Linked DNA regions of Ovis aries. The protein of the gene in region 5 purifies or fractionates together with the protein of the main gene of each other region. This does not show direct contact. Links are inferred from orthologs where the notes say so. Each region holds a gene or a part of one and is shown on either strand. Other genes may lie near its edges.

The links.
Region 1: the proteins of SRPK3 (region 5) and SON purify together in Homo sapiens (affinity purification with mass spectrometry; 3 studies listed by BioGRID and IntAct, with this or other methods). This does not show direct contact. The link is inferred for Ovis aries from reciprocal best matches to the Homo sapiens genes SRPK3 and SON.
Region 2: the proteins of SRPK3 (region 5) and FTSJ3 purify together in Homo sapiens (affinity purification with mass spectrometry; 3 studies listed by BioGRID and IntAct, with this or other methods). This does not show direct contact. The link is inferred for Ovis aries from reciprocal best matches to the Homo sapiens genes SRPK3 and FTSJ3.
Region 3: the proteins of SRPK3 (region 5) and CCDC86 purify together in Homo sapiens (affinity purification with mass spectrometry; 3 studies listed by BioGRID and IntAct, with this or other methods). This does not show direct contact. The link is inferred for Ovis aries from reciprocal best matches to the Homo sapiens genes SRPK3 and CCDC86.
Region 4: the proteins of SRPK3 (region 5) and EBNA1BP2 purify together in Homo sapiens (affinity purification with mass spectrometry; 3 studies listed by BioGRID and IntAct, with this or other methods). This does not show direct contact. The link is inferred for Ovis aries from reciprocal best matches to the Homo sapiens genes SRPK3 and EBNA1BP2.

Annotation. Positions count from the first base shown.
Region 1 is NC_056054.1:122,631,117-122,635,131, reverse strand, and holds the start of SON (protein SON), read left to right. Parts: upstream 1-1,204; coding exon 1,205-1,281; exon of another isoform or gene 1,282-1,422; intron 1,423-4,015. Other genes in the region: GART (trifunctional purine biosynthetic protein adenosine-3), read right to left, coding at 1,077-1,218. UniProt on the Homo sapiens protein: RNA-binding protein that acts as a mRNA splicing cofactor by promoting efficient splicing of transcripts that possess weak splice sites.
Region 2 is NC_056064.1:47,800,469-47,804,556, forward strand, and holds the start of FTSJ3 (pre-rRNA 2'-O-ribose RNA methyltransferase FTSJ3), read right to left. Parts: upstream 2,806-4,088; 5' UTR 2,628-2,805; coding exon 2,561-2,627; intron 2,385-2,560; coding exon 2,279-2,384; intron 1,358-2,278; coding exon 1,311-1,357; intron 1,187-1,310; coding exon 1,107-1,186; intron 680-1,106; coding exon 580-679; intron 488-579; coding exon 293-487; intron 213-292; coding exon 97-212; intron 1-96. Other genes in the region: PSMC5 (26S proteasome regulatory subunit 8), read left to right, coding at 3,192-3,215, 3,757-3,828.
Region 3 is NC_056074.1:34,552,376-34,555,365, forward strand, and holds part of CCDC86 (coiled-coil domain-containing protein 86), read left to right. Parts: intron 1-2,442; coding exon 2,443-2,572; intron 2,573-2,990.
Region 4 is NC_056054.1:17,855,420-17,859,493, forward strand, and holds the start of EBNA1BP2 (probable rRNA-processing protein EBP2), read right to left. Parts: upstream 2,803-4,074; 5' UTR 2,622-2,802; coding exon 2,556-2,621; intron 2,473-2,555; coding exon 2,389-2,472; intron 2,186-2,388; coding exon 2,016-2,185; intron 1,418-2,015; coding exon 1,294-1,417; intron 1-1,293. Other genes in the region: CFAP57 (cilia- and flagella-associated protein 57), read left to right, coding at 3,188-3,344. UniProt on the Homo sapiens protein: Required for the processing of the 27S pre-rRNA.
Region 5 is NC_056080.1:80,500,656-80,504,597, forward strand, and holds the start of SRPK3 (SRSF protein kinase 3), read right to left. Parts: upstream 2,801-3,942; 5' UTR 2,753-2,800; coding exon 2,697-2,752; intron 2,626-2,696; coding exon 2,495-2,625; intron 2,362-2,494; coding exon 2,253-2,361; intron 2,120-2,252; coding exon 2,032-2,119; intron 1,742-2,031; coding exon 1,654-1,741; intron 1,083-1,653; coding exon 976-1,082; intron 890-975; coding exon 724-889; intron 620-723; coding exon 594-619; intron 111-593; coding exon 1-110. UniProt on the Homo sapiens protein: Serine/arginine-rich protein-specific kinase which specifically phosphorylates its substrates at serine residues located in regions rich in arginine/serine dipeptides, known as RS domains.

The DNA.
Region 1 (4,015 bases), on a different chromosome or scaffold from region 5:
CCATGGCACGTGGGAATAAGATGAAAATTCCTGCAGCCAAACCGGTTCACACAGTTTCATCTCACGCCTGAGAGTAAATCCGCCAAGCCAAACCGTAAAGCAACTTTACTGAGAGGCGGAGGAAACTCACCCGGCGATACTGGGTGACCTCGGGGTCCCCACGTAGACCTTCGCCTAGCGCTCTGGATCTGAATGTACTCCACGCGCGCCGGAAGTTGGGCGCGCGGAATCCGGCGCGCTCGGCCCTCCCACCCCGCCCTCGAGGGTTCGCCTCCCTATTGGCTGGCGGGGCCCGTGGTCCCCACCCCGAGGTAATCAAGAACGACGCCCTCCCGCTCTCGGGCACGGCCTGAACCTCCCCTCCGGAGCTAATCTCTTAAACCCTACTCGTTTACAGTGTTTAATTCTGTGGTACCAGGTGCCACGTAAAATCTACTCTCCCCTCCAGAACCTCCTGAGCTCTGACGGTGGGGAGCGCCAAAATGCTAAACCCATGTTCAGCTACTTGTGTGTTGCTTAGGAATCAGAACTGACCGGCTACTGTGCAAAAGTCTCGTGATGCGCCTGGCTCCTGACGAGATTAGAATGCACCAGGGTTTGAGCTCAGCTGGCTCGTGACCTCTGACCCAATGCTAAAATGGGGGGAAAAAAAGCTGATTATAGGATGCCACGGGAGAGAGATGGGGGGATGAAAACGTTATTCTTCGTACGGTGGGCAGGCGCTGATAATGTGCTTTCCCGAATGGATCTCCCCTGCCGAAACGCGGAGACATGTTGGAGCACCCTGTTGCCCTCCCCGCTCCCTTTCCTCACGGAATTTAATCTCGGGTAGTTAGTGGCTAAAATAAGCCTCTTAAACGGCCCCCCCTCCCCCAAACGCTATTGAAGACTGACAACTGAAGCCGACACAGCCACCTCGAGAGAGAGACTTCTCCTGTAATGGCGCCTGCGTCAGTCACTAACATGGCGGACACAGTCGTGCGCGGCGCAAACGTCAGCAGCTCTACCCCAAACGCTCAGAAACAGCGGAGGAGAGCGGGGCCGTGCTCGCTGATAGGTTCGGAGGCGGAGCGTACCGGTCTGGCTCTCCCACAGGAGCCAATCAGGACGGCGAGAGACGGAATTGGCCGCTGCGCCTCCTCCCGAGGCATGCTGGGAGCCTGGAGGACTGGTGAGGAGGAGTTGAGAGAACGGAGCGGACGCCATGGCGACCAACATCGAGCAGATTTTTAGGTCTTTCGTGGTCAGTAAATTCCGGGAAATTCAACAGGAGCTTTCAAGGTAAGCTCTCCTCAGACTCTTCTGCTCCCAAAGGACCGCTGGGACCCCACGGGGCCTTCCATGGAATCTTTCTTCGGAGACGCTGTCGTTGCTCGTCTCAGGCCCGGCTACAGCCCCGCCTGGGCCTGGGATCCATTTTCCGGCCCCCCCACCCCCATCCGCTCCCTCCCTTCCCGGCGAGGAACTTCGCCCTTTCCGAGATAATCCCAGGCTGTCTCTTCTAGAACCGAGTTAAGATGCTCAGCCTTCTGTCCTGTTTGGGTATCCCCTACCGTCTAGCTACTGTAGGCCTGCTTGTCCACCGGGGATGGGCCTAGTTCCTTCCTCAGCTCTGCCGCCGCGCTTCCCCTCCCCCTCTCCGCCTCCGCGGATTTCGCCGGCCGGTGTCTTTGACCGGAAAGGGGTCTAACGGCCGTTTCTTGAGTAATCTTAAATACGCTTTATTACTGCAAGCTTCGGACCACTTGGGGGTCGGGATCCTTTGAGAAGATTATTTGGGTCCTAATGTCCTGTGGCTTCCACCAGGTAGCATTTTAAATAGTCTGGTAGATTAGAAATTTAAATTAAAACAGTTAAAGTTAACGTTAGTTATTTTGACAGAATATTCGAGGCGAGGATGGAAGGAGACTTTGAATTACTAGTAATTACTAAATTTAGCAAGCGAAAAGTGGAGTTCGTGTATTGGTCTAAATATTCTTGCTCCCTCTGCCCCGATTGACCTATTTGACCAACACGCTGTTTTTGTCATCGCTACTAGTTTACCCTTGGTTCCACACAATTTGAATGGGAAGAGACTTTCAAAGAAATAGTTGCTTACTCGGAAAGGAAAATCGCGTGGGTCATGTTATTTAGTGGTTGTCTTTTTGTATTTTTATTTTGCATAACGTAAACATTTGTTCCGAGTTGAAATGCATTGTTAGTTGTGTTTTAAAAAGTTGAGAGCTAGAATCAAACGTGAGGTGAATTTGAAAAATAGCCGGAAACTCAGTTGTAAACTGAATGCTCCAATTAACATACGGTTATGGGGTAATGATATAGATTTGCTGGAATTCTTTGCGTATACATTGTTTTTCAAGTGGGAAATATATCTGTTCATTGATTTAGTTGCTTTTTGAAATTTTGTAATATGCTAGTTATTTTTAGGATAGTGAGAAACGACCTGAGCTAAGGGAATAGAATTTTCCTGGAAACTTTTTAATAGTTGCATGCAATCAGTAGTTGTGTTTGATAATTGTAATGTCTTATTTCTATACCTTTTAAAAATTAGGTTTTGTATTAGAAGTTTTATTGTTGTATTAGGTTTAGAAAAAATAGAGAAACGAATTTTAAAACGCATGGTTATTGATCTTTATCTTCTTTCACTTTTTTTCCTTTGCATACAGATGCACGTGTTTTGTGAAATGTGGTCATCTTGTTTTGCGTGTTTTTTTTTTTTTAACCTGTATATTGTGAACTTTTATCATGGTTTGGAACATTTTTCCAGGCTCCATAGAATTCTGTTTATTGTAGGATTGTATTGATATTTAGGTGCCTTGACATTTCCACCCTTTTTCAGTAGTTGAATGAACATCTGGAGAGCTTTAAGATGATTACTTTCTTATAGATTGCCTGTTTTTTTTTTTTTTTTATTCCTACTTTTCGGATTTTTAAATCCGTGGATTTTTTAGTAAGGTCAGCACAGTGTAAGTGCTTAGGAAAAATGTAAAGAAAGTCCAGGAAGAAACTCTAAAAAGAAAATTAGATGAAGCAGTGTATTACTGGAGGAATATTCAGCTTCTTTTCAAGTAACGTTATACATTATCAGTGTCAAGATTATTTGCTGTTTTAGTGAGCTGTAGTTCTTTTGTGTGTTTGTCATTTATTTTTTAATGTATATTGGTTTGAGTGAGGAGACTGATAACTTTAATAGCTTAAAGTTTTTATTTATAGATGGTTAGGAGTAAGAGCTCTGGTTTTGAATGCCAGCTTTACTGCTTAATAAATGTGTAATCTTCAGCTAGGTTTGTTTTGTTTTCTTTGGGCCTCATTTTCCTCATTGAAAAATCAGAACAATAGTGCTGATTTCAGAGTTTGTGGGGATAAATGAGTTTAGAAATGTAGAACCATGTGACCTTAATTAATAGTTAATAAATGTTAAATAATATTTATTGTATGATTCATTGTATTAGAAAACCAAATATTCTTTAATAACATGAAAAGCTACTGAATATTTTTGGTTAAAGCTTAAATTACAGTAAGTCACACATACTGTTGTGAAAGCATTTTTCGAAACAATTTTGTAAATTTGTACAAAATAGTACAAGTGACAAATGATAAAAATAAATGATATATAAAAATGTATCTTCTGTCAAGATTCTTCTGTTCCTGTAAATTGAAAATGTTAAGTGATTCATTCATTGACTGTTACTATAAATGAATTGGTTTACATGGTTTTTGGTAACTGGGTGAAAACTGTATGTGTATTTTTTCAATATTGTGGCATTTCAGTAACTGAAGAGTTTCAACCTGATCTGAAGCTACCAGTTATACTTTTGACTAAATGTCTGTGGCTGAATTTTTGTTCCTTCATATTGCTGATGGTGATTGTGATCCATCTATAGGTGTAGCTTTATTGTCACTATAGCATATACCATAATGTTAGGGTAATGTGTTTTTCTTTGGTTTGGTGATTGTGATCTTAGTAATTTTCCCCTGAAATATTCTGGTTGGGGAGTATTTAAATTTTTTTTTAAAA
Region 2 (4,088 bases), on a different chromosome or scaffold from region 5:
GAGCAGTCAGTCCCTTCCGGGCTGTCTGTAGGACCCACCAGGCCCAGCCTCCCCCAGGTTCCAGGACCTGAGAGTGGGCCCACTCCCCTAACACACCTTTGGCTTCTTCTTGGTCACCAATTCTGTAACGGTCTTGGCCTGAACTTCGACTTCCTTGAAGGCAAACTTGGGGTCAAAGAATTTACTGTCAACCTTGTCAGGAGCCAGGAAACCTAAGATAATAGGATTCACGAGCAAGTGTGCTTTGGTAGGTAGGAGACTGAATCAAGAGAACAAATGAAGTTACACCCACCCTGGCAGACTACAAAGATCTCCGCAGATTCATGACGAGAGGCTTGGGGCTTGGTGGCCTGGACGCGGCGGAAGAGCTGCTGGAAGATCCACAGTAAGGGCTGATAGTCACGGGAACGGAAAACCTTTGTGATGAAGCAGCCACCACGGCCCAGAAAGTCACAAGCCAAACGCAGAGCCATCAGCGTCAAATGGGCTGTGGGACAGAGACGGTAAGCTGAGGACCTCTGCAGCCTGAGAGGGCATGCCCGCCTCCACCCTTATCTCCACATCCTCTGACCCCGGCACCTTGTGAGTAAGCATCATGGGCCCAGCTAGCCCCGACATTGGGGGCCCCATCATTGAGCACAACATCAACCTTCCAAGTTTTCAGCTCCTTCCTCAGGGCCTGCAGAGAAGGAAGAGATTACTGCAACTGAAATACAGACATGGCTATGAACTGAATCACTGGTTCAGCCATCTGTCCACCCAATCATTTGTTGAGTGCCTGCCACAGGCCAATTCCTGTGCCGTGGACAGGGAATACAGCGATAAGCAAACCTATCTGTCCTCATGGAGCTTAGTTTATAGAGAACCTGCTGGAAAGGATTTCATGGAAATCTCTGCACTTCCTCTAATTCCAAACACCTCTTTCCTGAATAAACAAAGGCTGGATGGACACACTGTCTTTTGGGCCTTGTCACAGAGATAATGTGTGGGCACTGCTTAGGGCATGGTAAACATGAAAAACGTGTTTTCAGGGGCTCAGGGTGGGAAGAGGGATGGATGCAGATGTCTACTTATAAAAAGGATGGGAAAAAGAAGGTTCCTATTACCTGCCTACAGCGTTCTGTTGTGATGTCCTCCTGGAGGGTCACCACATTGGGAAGAGGCTTGATTGGGACCAGATCCACTCCTGGAAGAAAAGAGGGCAGAGGATTCCAAAAGGCTGCCTCGAGCAGGGAGGAAGGAAATGCAGAACCACAGTGTCTCACTCTCCCACCCCCCCGGAACACCTAAGAGAGCCACCGGTCACTCACCCACAATAAGGCTGGATACAGGCATAAACTTGGCAGCTACTTGCAGCCTGTAAAAAAAAGTAAAGATTAAAATACCCTCGACCACCTCTCCCTCTCCCTTGACAATCTGATCTCTCACCCTCAGTGCTGGGAGTCTCTGGGACCTGGGACCTTTTGCTGCAGTGTTTGCGGCTGAACAAACAACTCCTCAAATAATAAAATACAAACAAACCACAAGTGACTAAAAATAACTGTATGCATGGCCAGCTGGGGTAAATTTTGGACAAGATACAAAAGACCAAAAAACAAACAAATCCACTGCCACCTATGAAGTGCTAGGAGCAAAAGCAGGGTCCTGCACTTGCCCCAACACTCACCATCATCAACGGGATGAGCAAACCACTGAAGCCACTCCTAAGGCTGGGCTCCTAGACACACAGCAACCCTCACCCCGTATAAAGAATCAGCTCACACCCCTCCAGGAGCTAGCAACCAAGGGAACGTGTTACTTGTTCTCACGCCCTCCTGCTGCAGCAGGGGCCCCAGTAAAGCTTTGCCTGAATTTCCTGTCTGGCCCCTAATCAATTTCTATTGATTGGGGAAGGCAAAGAACCCTGGTCTGGGAAAGAATGAAGGCAGGAGAAGGGGACGACAGAAGATGAGATAGTTGGATGGCATCACCAACTCGATGGACATGAGTCTGAGCAAGCTCCATGAGTCGGTGATGGACAGGGGGGCCAGGTGTGCAGAAGTCAAAGAGTCGGACACAACTGAGCAACTGAATGGAGCTGAAGAACCCTGGCCAGTACCAGCCAAACGTATGTACACGTTCTAAATCTTCCCTCCTGAAGCTTACAGTTCTGGGGAGTACAGAAATTTGAGGCTGGTATTACTGTATCCCTCCCGCCCCTCAACGTCAATTCTCAGTCATCCAAGGCTGGAACCCAGAAAGTTTCCATAAGGAGCGTCAGGTGCCAGGTGTTACCCACCATCCACCCGGTGCAGCGCACAGGTCCAGCAATGCTCGGGCTTTTTGCAGAAATTGAAAGCGGCGATTCAGCTGGATCAGCTTGAAAGCAGAGCGGGAGCGGTAACCTGGAGGCGGCGACAAAATTCTGTAACAAGGTCCGCGAAGCGCTTTCCCAGCGCGATTTCTACGGCCTCCCGACCCACTACCCCTTCTGCGGAAAAGAAACTCAATATTCGGAAAGCGGGGCGAACCGACCGAGGTCGGTGGCTCGCCTGCTCTGACAGCACGAACCCTGACTCACCGGTCTCCTTCGCCAAGTGATAGAACTTGTCCCGCCGGCTCTTCCCGACTTTGCTCTTTTTGCCCATGGTGTAACGTGGGGGCACCACTCAAGCGGGAGAGAAAGCAGAAGTTGGAACGTCTCTTCCCGGAGCACTAGATTCCGCCTTCCGTTTCCCACTCGCTGTCGCGGAGACACTCGGAGTCTTACTCGACACCACTCACCTGCAACCAGCACCGTTTTCTCCACCTTGGAGAGGCACATGTGGGCAGCAAACGTACTTCCGTTTCCGCTTGCGTCGCTCGCGTCCCGGCTCCAAGTTTTCCGCCATTTAGAGCGTGGCCACAAATATTTTCCCTGTAATCCTTCCCCAGGTTTTATAAGTTGGAAGCTGGCATGCCGCCAAAACCGAATTTCTAGAGAGTAACTTTAGGAGTTCTGTGCCTTTTACACCAAAGATCCTGACCTAGGGTAACTCCGTCCCTCCCCTCATGTCCCTTGTTATTTGTTACCGTCCGTCCTCACACCCCGCCCACTGACCCGGAACTGTTCTCTGCCCGAGTCTTTGGTACCCCCCCACCCCGCAAGCGCCGGCTTTGCGCCTGCGCGCCAAAGCGGCTCTGATGCCGGCGGTCTCCGCGGAAGAGGGAAGATGGCGCTTGACGGACCAGAGCAGGTATGGCGGCGGCGGCCGGGCGGGGACCGGGGCTGGATGAGAAGCAGGTGCGATCCGAGGTGGGCAGCCGGCCGGGGCCAGCGGGTCGGGGGCGTCCGGGGTGGGTGGGCCAGTCTAGACTGGGCCCTGCCTGGGACCGGATCTGCTGTGTCAGCGCCGCCCGCGGCGGGTCACGGCAGGGCCGGGAGTGGAAGACCGGGTGGAAGCCGATTGAGTGAGGAGCGGTGAGAACAGCGGGAGCGGTGAGAACCGCGGGAGCGGGAACCCACTCTTGGCGGGATTCGGGAGCCCCGTGCTGGCTGCTCCTGTACAAATAACATCTCGGGATTGTGTAGCGTTCCCTGATGCGCTGTTTCTTGATCCTCCTGAAAGTCTTAAGAGGCAGGCGGCATTCTCATTCTGTTTTAGTCTTAAGGAAATGGTTGTGAAGAGATGGAGTGAGGGACGAGAACACAAATCTTGAATCTCCGAAGTCAACGTGGAAATAGTTTTATCCTTTGGATGTTTAGCCTTTTGGTTAATAATTACACTGTGTCCTCAGATGGAGCTGGAAGAGGGGAAGACAGGCAGTGGACTCCGCCAATATTATCTGTCCAAGATTGAAGAACTCCAGGTGAGAACGGACTTCAGAGGTCCAGAGGGAACTAGAAGGGGGATGAGCAGATCTCTACAAATCCATGTAATTCCACTGCCATGCAGTGGAAAAATTAGTATTGATGACAAGTTAATAGTATAAAATATATGAAATTAACTGTCTCATGTTCCCCTGAAACCCCATCTTTTTGAAGATAATTAATATTCACAATTTCTTACACATCTTCAAGAGTCAAATTTTAACATAAAAGTACCCCCCAGCCAAAAGTCGTTCCTTTT
Region 3 (2,990 bases), on a different chromosome or scaffold from region 5:
AATGGGTAACCAACCCATAGTATATCAGTAACAAGTAAAAGAGCAGAGAGTGTGGGCCGTTGTCACAGTGATCGGAGATAACTTCACTGCCCCGGGGATGTGAGCAGAGGCTTGAATGAACATATCGGAAAAGAGTATCCAAGCAAGGGGAACAGGAAGTCCAGAGGCAAGCTTGTGCTCCCCTGTTTGAGAAACAGTCCAGAGGCTTCATCAGTGGGCACTGGGGGGCACCATAGGAGGAGAGTGGTCAGAGGGGTCACCGGGCCAGGTCGCGTGGGTCCTTGTAGGGACCCAAGTGCACAACGGAGCCATGGGGAGTATTGAGCAAAAGAGTAATTCAATCTGACCTCTGGGAGGACCGGTGTGGCCTGTAGAGGACAGACTGTTCCGAGGGCTGGGGCGAGAGCAGGGAGACCAGTAAGGAAGCTGCTGTGGTAGAATTAAAGCACCTTCAGAAGCTGCACCAGGCCTGTGGATAAGGGCCAGAAGGGCAGTGGAATGGGTGTTTGGAATCTTTGAGGAAGCAGCTCTGGCGGTTGGTGAGTGAGCTCTAAGATCAGAAGGTGGGGGGTAGGGTGGGGAGGCCAGCACCTACTACAGCTGTGGGGGGATGGGGTGGGGGGGTTTGAGGGAGGCAGCCAAGGCTGGGAAGGCCCACCTCCCGTATCCAGGCCCAATGCCCCCTTCTGCCCAGTCTTCCCTGAGTGAGCCAGCTCCCATCTCTAAAGGATGGATTCACTGGGCACCTACTATGTGCAAAGCACTGGGCTAAGTGCTTCTCGGGCTGAGAGCCACTAACCCTCCCATCACCCTTTGCAATGGGAATGGCCCTCGTCTCCAGGTAACACAGACTCAGAGAGGCTGCCTAGCCGACTGTCACACAGGTAGTAAGTGGTGGATCCACACCTGGCTTCCTTCAATCTTCAGGTAAACGCAGTGCTCTGAGACTGCACTGCCTCGGTGTCTTATCCATCAGTCACCTGTGGCTGTTTAAATTTAAATAGCTTACAATTCAAGTTCAAAATTCAGTTTCCTGGTCATCAGCCACCTTTCAAATGCTCAGCAGCCCGTGTGACTCGCCGCTCCCTGATTGGCCAGTGTAGATAAAGGGCGTCTCCACCGCTGCCCCAGGGGGGATGCAGCACAAGTCCTGCCTGAGGCTCCGTGTGTCCAGCTCCCCTCTGTCTTGTCCCTTTCGGGGCCTCGTGCCCCAGTCTGAGATGCCCGGATGTAAGGGCAGGGAGGGAGTCCATGCAGCAGGCCCTTGGGGAGGGCGACAGGGAGCAGTCGGGGGTGGGCTGGGGTGGGGCAGGCAGAACTGGGGAGGGGGGAAGCAGGCTGAGGATGGACAGGCCTGGGGTCAGGGTCCAGGCTGTATGTGCCAGACTCCTAGGGAGCAGGCGGGGGGAGAGACGAACTGGAAGAGCAGTACTGAGCCTTCCCCGGGGGTGGGAGTGGGGCCTCTGCGCGGTGCCCACTGCAGCCTTCAGAGCCCTGCTTACTGTGACCGTGTGGGCTGTGATACAGTGGATGTGGATAAACAGGAGCTCTGGAAAGTCAAGAAATTATTGAGGGAGGTGGAAAGGCCACTACGAAAAGATCTGTTGAGAAGGAAAGAAGGCCCGTGGGACACCCGCACCCAAGGTTTCAAATCGTTCAGGAAAAAAGGAAAGGGAGGGGCGTGGTTGCAGAAACCCCCAGGCCCGCATCACCAGGCAAGGCAGCCCTCAGCATTTGCCTGGGCTTGTTCCTCATTCCTTCTTGCTCCTCAAAGTGTTTTTCCTTTTTCCTGGAAGATTTCACAGTGTATCCTACATAGGTCATCCAACCCCTAGATCCTGGTGGTGTTCTTACAGAGGTGATCTCGCTCCTCCTGTGACCTTGTCACTGTCACTCTAGAATATCCAGACTTCCCTGATGTTGCCTAGCTGCCACTCCGTGTTCACATTGCCCCTGCTGGGAAGAGAGACTCTGAATCACTGCAGGGGACCGTGACCATTCACATGTTCTGAGATGAAACGGGCACCCCAGTAGGGAGTGAACCCTGCTCCAGAGGCGTCCACACCCAGGCCCCCTGCACTTGGGCAGAGCAGTAGAGCTTGGTAGCAGAGGCCGTTTGGCCTGGACCTTTGATCACAGACTGCTCCTCAGGAGCAGGATGACCCAGAGCAATTATTTACCCTCTCTGAGCCTTGGTCAGCACCTCTGCGAAGTGGAGAGAATGAGAGTACCCGCCTTAGGCACATAACCAGGGCTTCAGAAGTGGCCTTGGGTGTGATTGGGAGCCCTTTCCTGCCCCAGGCCTGGACAGTCAACTGCCTGGGCAGCTGGCAGGTGGGGAGGTGATTCTGACTGCGTTCTGGGGAAGAAGGCCCAGAGCCGAGAGGAGGGAGGAAAGCAGGCATCGCAGTGGCTCCTTGAACACCCGCTCCCCCCATCCAGGTTTTCCCAGATGGTTCAGGACAAGCCCCTGCGCACATCCTGGCAGCGGAAGATGAAGGACCGGCAGGAGAGGAAGCTGGCCAAGGACTTCGCCCGGCACCTGGAGGAGGAGAAGGAGCGGCGCCGGCAGGTGAGGGGTGGGCCAGGCGGGGGGCTGAGCGGGTGTTGGCCGTAACAGGGGCAATTGGGGAGAGGAGCTGTCCTCTAACCCAGAGACCTTGGGAAGACAGGGAGCTGGGCCAGAAGCAGAAGCGCAGTCCAGGACCCCAGGGTAGGGAAGCCCAGTGGAACATCACATTTAGCCAGGAGGCTTATGTGAGCCCCAGGGATGGGAGGAGGCTGAGGATGAAGACCCCTGGTTCCTCACTGGTGATCAGAGCATTCAGTGAGATGGGCTCAGGGGTCCGTGCCCTGGACCTGCTCTGATGGGAAGAGCTGACGAATCGGGGGCTTTATCCTGAGTGTTGTTGCCAGTGTCCTCTGAGACACAGCTCCCATACAGCAGAGAGGGCTGCCTGCAGAATCCTCCAGTCCTCCCTGACACTCAA
Region 4 (4,074 bases), on a different chromosome or scaffold from region 5:
ACAGCTTGCTTGCCTCTGAATCAGGAGAAAAGACTAACTTCTCTCCATCCATACCGTCTGCAGACTGTGGTGAAACCAGTATGCAGCTTTAGCCTCCTTCTCCAGTATATCATCTGTACTATAAAAACTCAGATATCAGGTACCTAGCCGTTTGCATTAAACATATACATTTCAGTTAAAGAATGAACAGTTATGAATTTGAATGTGCAGAAATGGGTCTGGGTTCGTCTCTAGATTAGCTTCTTTGAGTACCACTGAGACAAGAAAATCCAGTTTGAGACCCAAGGGAACTATTCAGATATATCTTGGATTAGACATTGGTAATTCTCTGCCTCTCAAAGTTGAATAAGGACCAAATTCTACCTAACTGTTCAGTTCAGTTCAGTTCAATCACTCAGTTGTGTCCAACTCTTTGCAACCCCATGAACTGCAGCACGCCAGGCCTCCCTGTCCATTGCCAACTCCCAGAGTTTACTCAAACTCATATCCACTGAGTCGGTGATGCCATCCAACCATCTCATCCTCTGTCGTCCCCTTCTCCTCCTGCCCTCATCTTTCCCAGCATCAGGGTCTTTTCCAATGAGTCAGCTCTTCACATCAGGTGACCAAAGGATTGGAGTTTCAGCTTCAGCATCAGTCCTTCCAATGAATATTCAGGACTGATTTCCTTTAGGACGGACTGGTTGGATCTTCCTGCAGTCCGAGGGACTCTCAAGAGTCTTCTCCAACACCACAGTTCAAAAGCATCAATTCTTCAGCACTCCGCTTTCTTTGTAATCCAACTCTCACATCCATCCATGACTACTGGAAAAACCATAGCCTTAACTAGCCTTAACTTAACTTACCTAACTGTAAATTATGCCAAATCTAAGCCATATATTAATCCTTCATTCTAGAGCAAAGAAAAACTAAGGCTCAGAGAAAGGTAACTGTCTACAAGTTATAATGCTGCCCCGGCAACGGCAGGAAAGAACTGTTGTCTCTTCCAAACACCATGCCATGACCATGCCAGCTAGGAGATGCATAAAGATCATCTTAGGGACCACACTTCTTACATTATCTTCCTCCCTTAACTGTCTTTATTAGGAAAAAGTCAACCTTACATTTGTCCAACTGGTGTTGATTAGCATGAATCTGACATAGGTAACTGAGATAATAATTTTCCTCTGACAACTGGCTCCCTATCAATGTGGTTATGCCTTTGTTTGTTTGAACATTAAGGGAGACAAGCCAGCTGTATAGACTTAAGTACAAAGCTTCAGTCTTCCAGAGAAAACCTCTTCCATTTCTTACCTTCTGCATCTGCTGATCAGACTTGGCCATCTCTGCAAAATAATCCGTAGGCCGCTTGGTAGGCACTTTGAGCTGATGGAGGCGGGGCAATACTGCAAGCACCGCTGCCTGGGCTTGACGGTAGCTGCAGATGTAGGACAAAGTGTGAAATAAGCTAAGGCAGAGAGGTCTTACATCCTTCTGACTGCCTCTCATAAGGCATCCAAGGTCGGAAGAGCCCGCAACACCTGACCTCCACCAGCAAGAACACACACACAAACAAAAATGGTAATAAAACCTCATTAACTCAGGAGAAATTTAGATGTACACTCTTTTAAAAGGGGTGGGGAGTATTGCTTAAAATGAATTAGTAGTTTAACAGAATGACCACTTTAGAAGTGCTCACTAACTTACAAATGCCAATTACACATTCTTATTTAGTCACTAAAAAAAAAGTCTATATAAGGATCCCACATAAGCAACGTTTTGTTCTCATAATCAACTGCACAAAAAAATTTAAAACTTAGTATTTGAAAATAAACTGGACTTTAAATTGTGACTGCTGGACCATGGGGCCTTTCTCTCAACCACGGAGCATCTCCTACTCCTTAGTCCAAAGAAGCTTTCCTCCCTACTCCCAGGCTTAGGACACCTCGAAGGAACACATGCTCACGGCTTCCACCCTCTCCCCACTCTCTAGCGCAGGGACCCACAACCTTTCCCACACTTGAAAGCATACATACAAGCTCATCTCACGCTTAAAGTCATCTTCTGGATCAACAGCTTTCGGATCCTGGTTCTGAGATGTTGACTGAGATCCACCGATTTCTGGTACCGGACCCAGAGTCACATCAAGCCTTTCAACCCATTCCAGATCCCGCTTGAATTCAGCCAAACACTGCTTCAGGCCATTCTAGGAAATTCAGACACCAAGCTCACAAAAAGGTAACAGGCCAACAAATGAAGTGCCAACCTCCAAGACCCCGACAGGTAGTTGACACTCTTGGCAATGCGCAGGGTGTGTCTTTCCTAGAACTAGAACGCAGTCTCTGGAGCACAACAGTACCTCGCGCGCATCCCAAGTCTAGCATCCTCCGACCGGGCGCCCGAACTCACCACGTCGTTCACGGCCTTCTTCGGCCCCTCTAGCACCACGTTGAGGCCTGGCTTCAGAAGCCCTCGGGAAAACGCCTCCTGCAACTAGAGGGCACGTTCTCCGGTGAGAATGGGAGAGTGAGGAACCCTCTTCCTCGCGCAGCCGCGCGAGCTCGGATGATACCTACCTCTCTGTCTGTGACAAGAGAGTCATCAGAATCGGAGTCCGAACCTGAGAGCGGGGGGGTGTCCATCTCACCGCGCGCGAGTCCACACCTACCGGAGGACGCGGAGTAGCCCGAGCCCCCCGCGCCTGGAAAAGGGCGCCCCTCGCCGCTGCCGCTTTGCAGCCCCCTGCCCTCCTGCAGCGGACCCACGTGGACTCGAACCGCACGGGAGCAAACAGCTGCTCCTGAGCTCTCTGAGCAAAAGACTTCCGCTTCCGGGTGCTGACATACTTCCGGCTTGCCGTTGCTATAGGAACCGCTCCGGCGTCGGTGAGTGCCGGGTTGCTTCGGATTCGTAGGGGTAGTACACGGGACACACGCGTGGTCTGGTTATCCAGAGAGCAGAAGCTTACAGGTGGGAGAGATCCCTGGGGGTTGTCCAGAGGAGCAGGAAGCCGCGAGGGCGAGAGGAACGAGCAGACGCAGGAGCCGGGTCTGGGGCACCCGCGGAGATTGCTAAGGGGAGGGGGCGGAGGAGCAGTTCGGAGGCGGAGCCACGGGCTTGTCGCGGGGCGGGTGCGGCCGGGTGGGCGCGGTTTCGCGCGTGTCCGTGCTCACTAGCTGCGTTGCATCTTTAGCGGAACTACCCGACCATGTCCACTGTGGTAGCTCAGTCGCTGCATGTTTTTGGTCTTCGATCCCACGTGTCCAACAATGTCTTCTTCTTCGATGAACAGATCATTATATTTCCTTCAGGAAATCACTGTGTGAAGTACAATGTGGATCAGAAATGGCAAAAATTCATTCCAGGTAAAACTGTGTTTCCAATCTGACACCTAGGTAACCGTGTGAACCAAATATAACACCATAATCCCAATAGGATGATTGAAAGAAAACTTTTTTTGGACAATTTGAATATACATATAGTTTTATAGATGTAGAAGAAATACATGTCTACTTGCCTTATTTTAATGTATAGATTAATGAATCATCCATAAAGTCACATGTAAAATCCTGTTAATTTAAAGGTACTTTTTTTTCACTGTGATCTAATGGAAAAAAATTCTTTTGAAGAGTTTCATGCATCTTCATTATCACTCTCCTTGCCATCACCAGGGCTGCTTTTTGACTTCTCTAACAGTTTTCTAGAGTATACCACTTTCATTACAGACCTTTTGAATCCATTTATGATGAAAACACTAGAGATTTTACCCCAGGTCAGAAATAACCATTTGTATACTGTAACATTTGGGTTTGTTCACATTGGTCCTGCTAATGATATACATGATTTCCATACCTTCGCCACTCTTTTCCACTGTTTTCTGCGCTCAACCTCTTTTATTGTGACATGCATACAAAAGACTGTATACTACATATGTGTAGTATTTAAAGAACTATAGTAAAATGAAGCTTTGAAAATCTACCAAAAGGAGAGCAAATAGTACATTACCAGTCCCAGTGTTTCTCCCTGACTTCATTTATCTCCCATGTGCCCACTCTCACTCCATCCTGGAATTTGTCATTATTCCCTGATTTCTCT
Region 5 (3,942 bases):
TCCATGGCCTCCAGCTTCTGCAGGTCTCGCAGCCGCTCCTCCAGCAGCCGCTTCTGCTGTTTCCGCTTGCGCCGCATCTTTTTCCTCTTGTTTTTTGACAGCTTCCCTGTCTACCAAGAGAGCCAGGGTCAGCCCGGGGGTGCCTGGCAGCCAGCCGCGGAGCAGCCCAAGTTTGTCCACAGGGCTCCCGCAGGGGACAAGGTCTGCAGGTCCCAGGACTCCATGACCATCAGGATGTGGTCCTGCAACCTCGCCCACCTCCTGGGTCCCCTCCTGCCCTCCACTCTCCAGAGCTGGAGGCCGAGGAGGAACCAAGAAGCCTCTGGCTGGGCGCCAGCCTCCCTTGGGGCCAGCTGTAAACATATTGTCCTTCCGGGGAGGTGGTGGTGAGCCCCAGTGGCCACCCAGGGCCGTTTGGGGCTTGTGGCCCCTCTGTATCACCCTCATCCAGGCCACTTGGCCTTTTGGACATGCCCCTGCAGGAGTGTTGGGCAGCAGGGAGAGTTAGGGAGAAAGGGGAACCAGAGAGGCTGAGAAGTGAGCTCTGAGCAGATGGGAAAATGAGGCTTAGGAAAAGAGGCGGCCCAACTTACCAAGACCTCCTGGGGGGCGGTACTGACTGCGGTGGAGCAGGCAGAGCCGGGAGGAAGAGAAAGGAACCAAGACTCAGGCTGGGGCTGAGACCCACGGGCCCTGCCCCGGCCCCACACAGGATCTGGGTACCTGTGGAGCGGGATGGGGGTGGTGCCCCTGACTGTTGCCACTCTGTGGCCTCAGCAGCCAGGCGCCGGATGTAGGCATCCCCCACACACAGCAGGATGTTCTCGGGCTTGATGTCTGTGTGGATGATCTTGCACTTGGTGTGGAGGTAATCCAGGCCGTGCAGCACCTGGAAAGAGCCAGTCCTGAAGTCCACCCGCCCTGCCCTGGCTGCCTGCCACAGGGCTCTTCCTGCCGAACTCAGGAAGAGCTCACCTGCCTCACGATGCTCTTCACACAGGGCACGGGCAGGCCCTGGTAGTTGGACTTGATGATCCACTTGAGCAGCTGGTGGCCGAGGACCTCCAACACCATGCACACATCTGGGGCCAGGAGTGAAGGGCAACTGCTGGGCGTGCAACCGGGGCCTAGGTCCTGCCCACCCTCAGCTGGGGTGGGGGAGCCCCAAGGCTCAGGCAGCATAGAGCTAGGTCTGGGAGGTCCTGTATCACCACCATCCCAGTGGCGCCCTAGTGTCCCTGTCACTCTCTGGTGTGCCAGTTGGCACCATACTTTCTGTGGTCTTCCTAGGGACAGGGCACTGGAGGAGTAGACAGGTTTCTCAGAACAGCCCCAGTCCTGTGCCCATGTCTGCCCAAGAGCCTATTGACAGCCCTCCCCCCCCCCCGAAAGGGAAGGCACGCAGAGACGGTGCCTCCCACTTGGGGGTAACCTAGCCATGGATTGCCAATGCCAACCTGGTTATCTGCTCCACCTCCCATGCCCAGACACAAATCCCTGAAGTGGTGGGGGTATTTCATAGACTAGTGTCATTGGAAGGGATAAACCGCCCGTCACACAGATCAGCAAACTGAGGCCCCTGGAGCTGGAAGGCACCAGCCAGCTAGCCCCTGCTGATATGCCACACTTGTTTGCTCAGCCTGCAAAGGATACGGACTCCGTTAACCCCTGAGATCCTGAAGTCATCGATGAGCTGGACAATGGTTTCTCTTTTGGGGTCACTGGGGTCACTGTCTCGGACCTGCAGTAAAAGCCAAGGGGCCACAGATGGCTTCAACCTGCCCCTTACGGGCTGCTCCCCCAGGGTGGGCAGCCCCTCCGGCACCCCCTGTCCCGCTGTGCTTGGGCCTCACTGGAAGAAAAGCCTCAGGCCCGCCCTCTGGGTCCTCCCCCTCGGCCTTGCCAGCTGGAGCCTGCCCCTGTGGGCGCCCCGCCCCAGCCTTCGGAGCCGGGCGGGCGGGCCTCACACCCACATTGCCAGGCCCCAGGCGGCTCCCAGGGAACTGGGAACGGGTAGGGGAGGCGCCTCACACATTTCAGGAGCTTGATCTCATCTACAGCTGTCTCCGTGTAATGCCCCGCGCTCTTCACCACTTTGAGAGCCACGAAACGCTTGCGCCTGCAACACCAAGACCCGTGTTGGCCGCTGGCACCAGGCAGACCCACGGGGCCCTCGCCATAGCTGCAGGCATGCCCAGGGGCAGGATCCCAGCTGGCATGGAGCCCCGGGGCGGGGGTGGGGGGACACTCACTGGATGTCCCAGCAGAGCCAGACGGTGGAGAAGTGGCCCCAGCCCAGCTTTCGCACCACGTGGTACCGCCCATTGAACAGGTCCCCGATTTTCACAGGGTAGTAGCCGCCTGGGGAAGGGAGCCCACAGAAGCCGCTGAGGGTGGCGCCTTGCCCCTGCCCCGGCACGGCGCCGTCCTGCTGGGACCCCTAGCCCACGTGGGCGGGCTCCGGGCCCCCTCCTCTTCCTCCCCGGGGCCTCACCCTTGCAGTAGTCCTTGGGGTCTTCCTGCTCCTCTTCGTCGGAGCCTAGCAGCCCCTGCAGCATCTGTGGCGTGGGGGCGGTGGGGGCCAGTTCGGAGCCAGAGGACTCGGGCCCGCAGGAGGCCTGCGAGCTGCGGGTGGGGCAGGCAGGCAGTGAGCGCACGGGCTGCCAGGGGCCCTGGGCAGCCCGACCTGGCCTTACCTGCTGCTGCTGTCACTGTCGTTGCCGCCGCAGCCGCCACTTGCACTGGCGCTCATTCTGGCCGTGTTGCCCGTAGTTCCGGCACCCCGGGCGGCCGCTCCTCTGGGGCCCGGTCACAGCCCGCACATTTATAGCCTCGGCTGCTGATCTCACCCGCCTTTATAAATAGCCTCCCAGCTGCTCGGCTGTGGGCAAGGTATGCAGCGGGGAGGGGGCGGCGCGGTGACAGCAGCCCTTGAGGGCCCGACCCCCCAGGATGAGCCCCCCGCCCCCATCCCAGGGCTGGGCAAGGGCGCTGCTGTGGGGACATGGTGTGCCACTGCCTCCCCGGGGAGTTCCCTGGCACCCTAGGACCACCACACTGGGAAGTGGTGACCTGGACCCTGGGCTAAGCTCCTGCACTCCAGGACTGACAGAGGGCGCTGCAGAGTGGCCACGTGGTGGTGACCTGGTCCTCAAACTGGAGTCCCAGGGCTCCAGAGCCTGCTAAGGGCCCTGTGGGCATGGTGCCCCCTCTCATATGCCCTCAGGCAGCGGCCACAGCTGCAAATATGCTCTGGCTTCTGGCTTGTGCAAGCCTGCCCAGAGGCGACCCCAGCCATTCTCGAGGGTACCTCACTCCCTGGCCACTCGGGTCCTGGAGCCCCAAAACGTGGCAGTCCAGTGTCCTCTCGTCCCTCCATGCGGCATCCCTGAGGGGCCCTGGCCAGGGGCCGATCGAGGGTGTGAGGTCTTCCCACCAGAGGTACAGGCCTGGGGGCTGCCCGCGTGGGACCCCAGTGCAGCATGTCGTCCCTGTGGCTCCCTGGGTCCATCTTTGCCTTGCTCTCTGGCTCCAACAAGTGCAAGTGTCCATGTGGGATGCACAGGGAGTTGTCCACCCTGGCCCTGCCCTCAGGGAACCCTCAAATGGGAAGCAAAGGAGCCCATGGCTCTAGTGGTCCAGGTCACACAGCCCTCCAAAGCCTGTGACCTTGGGGTGGTAGCCAAGGGACCAGGTTTTGAAGAATCTGGTCCCCCAAAATGGGATGGGCAGGGGAACCTCCAGAGAGGGAGCAGGACACCCTGGAGACCTCTGTGGCTGGTCTTTGCTGAAGACTGGCTGTGGGTATGGAAGATAAGGTGGGGCAGGGGGCTTTAGGTGCTCAAGGAGCCCCCCAGAGCCTGCAGGCACGGATGTGGGGTTTCTGCAGAGGGTCATGGGCACTTTGGCTCTTTAGAGAGAACACACTGATTGCTCCTGGGA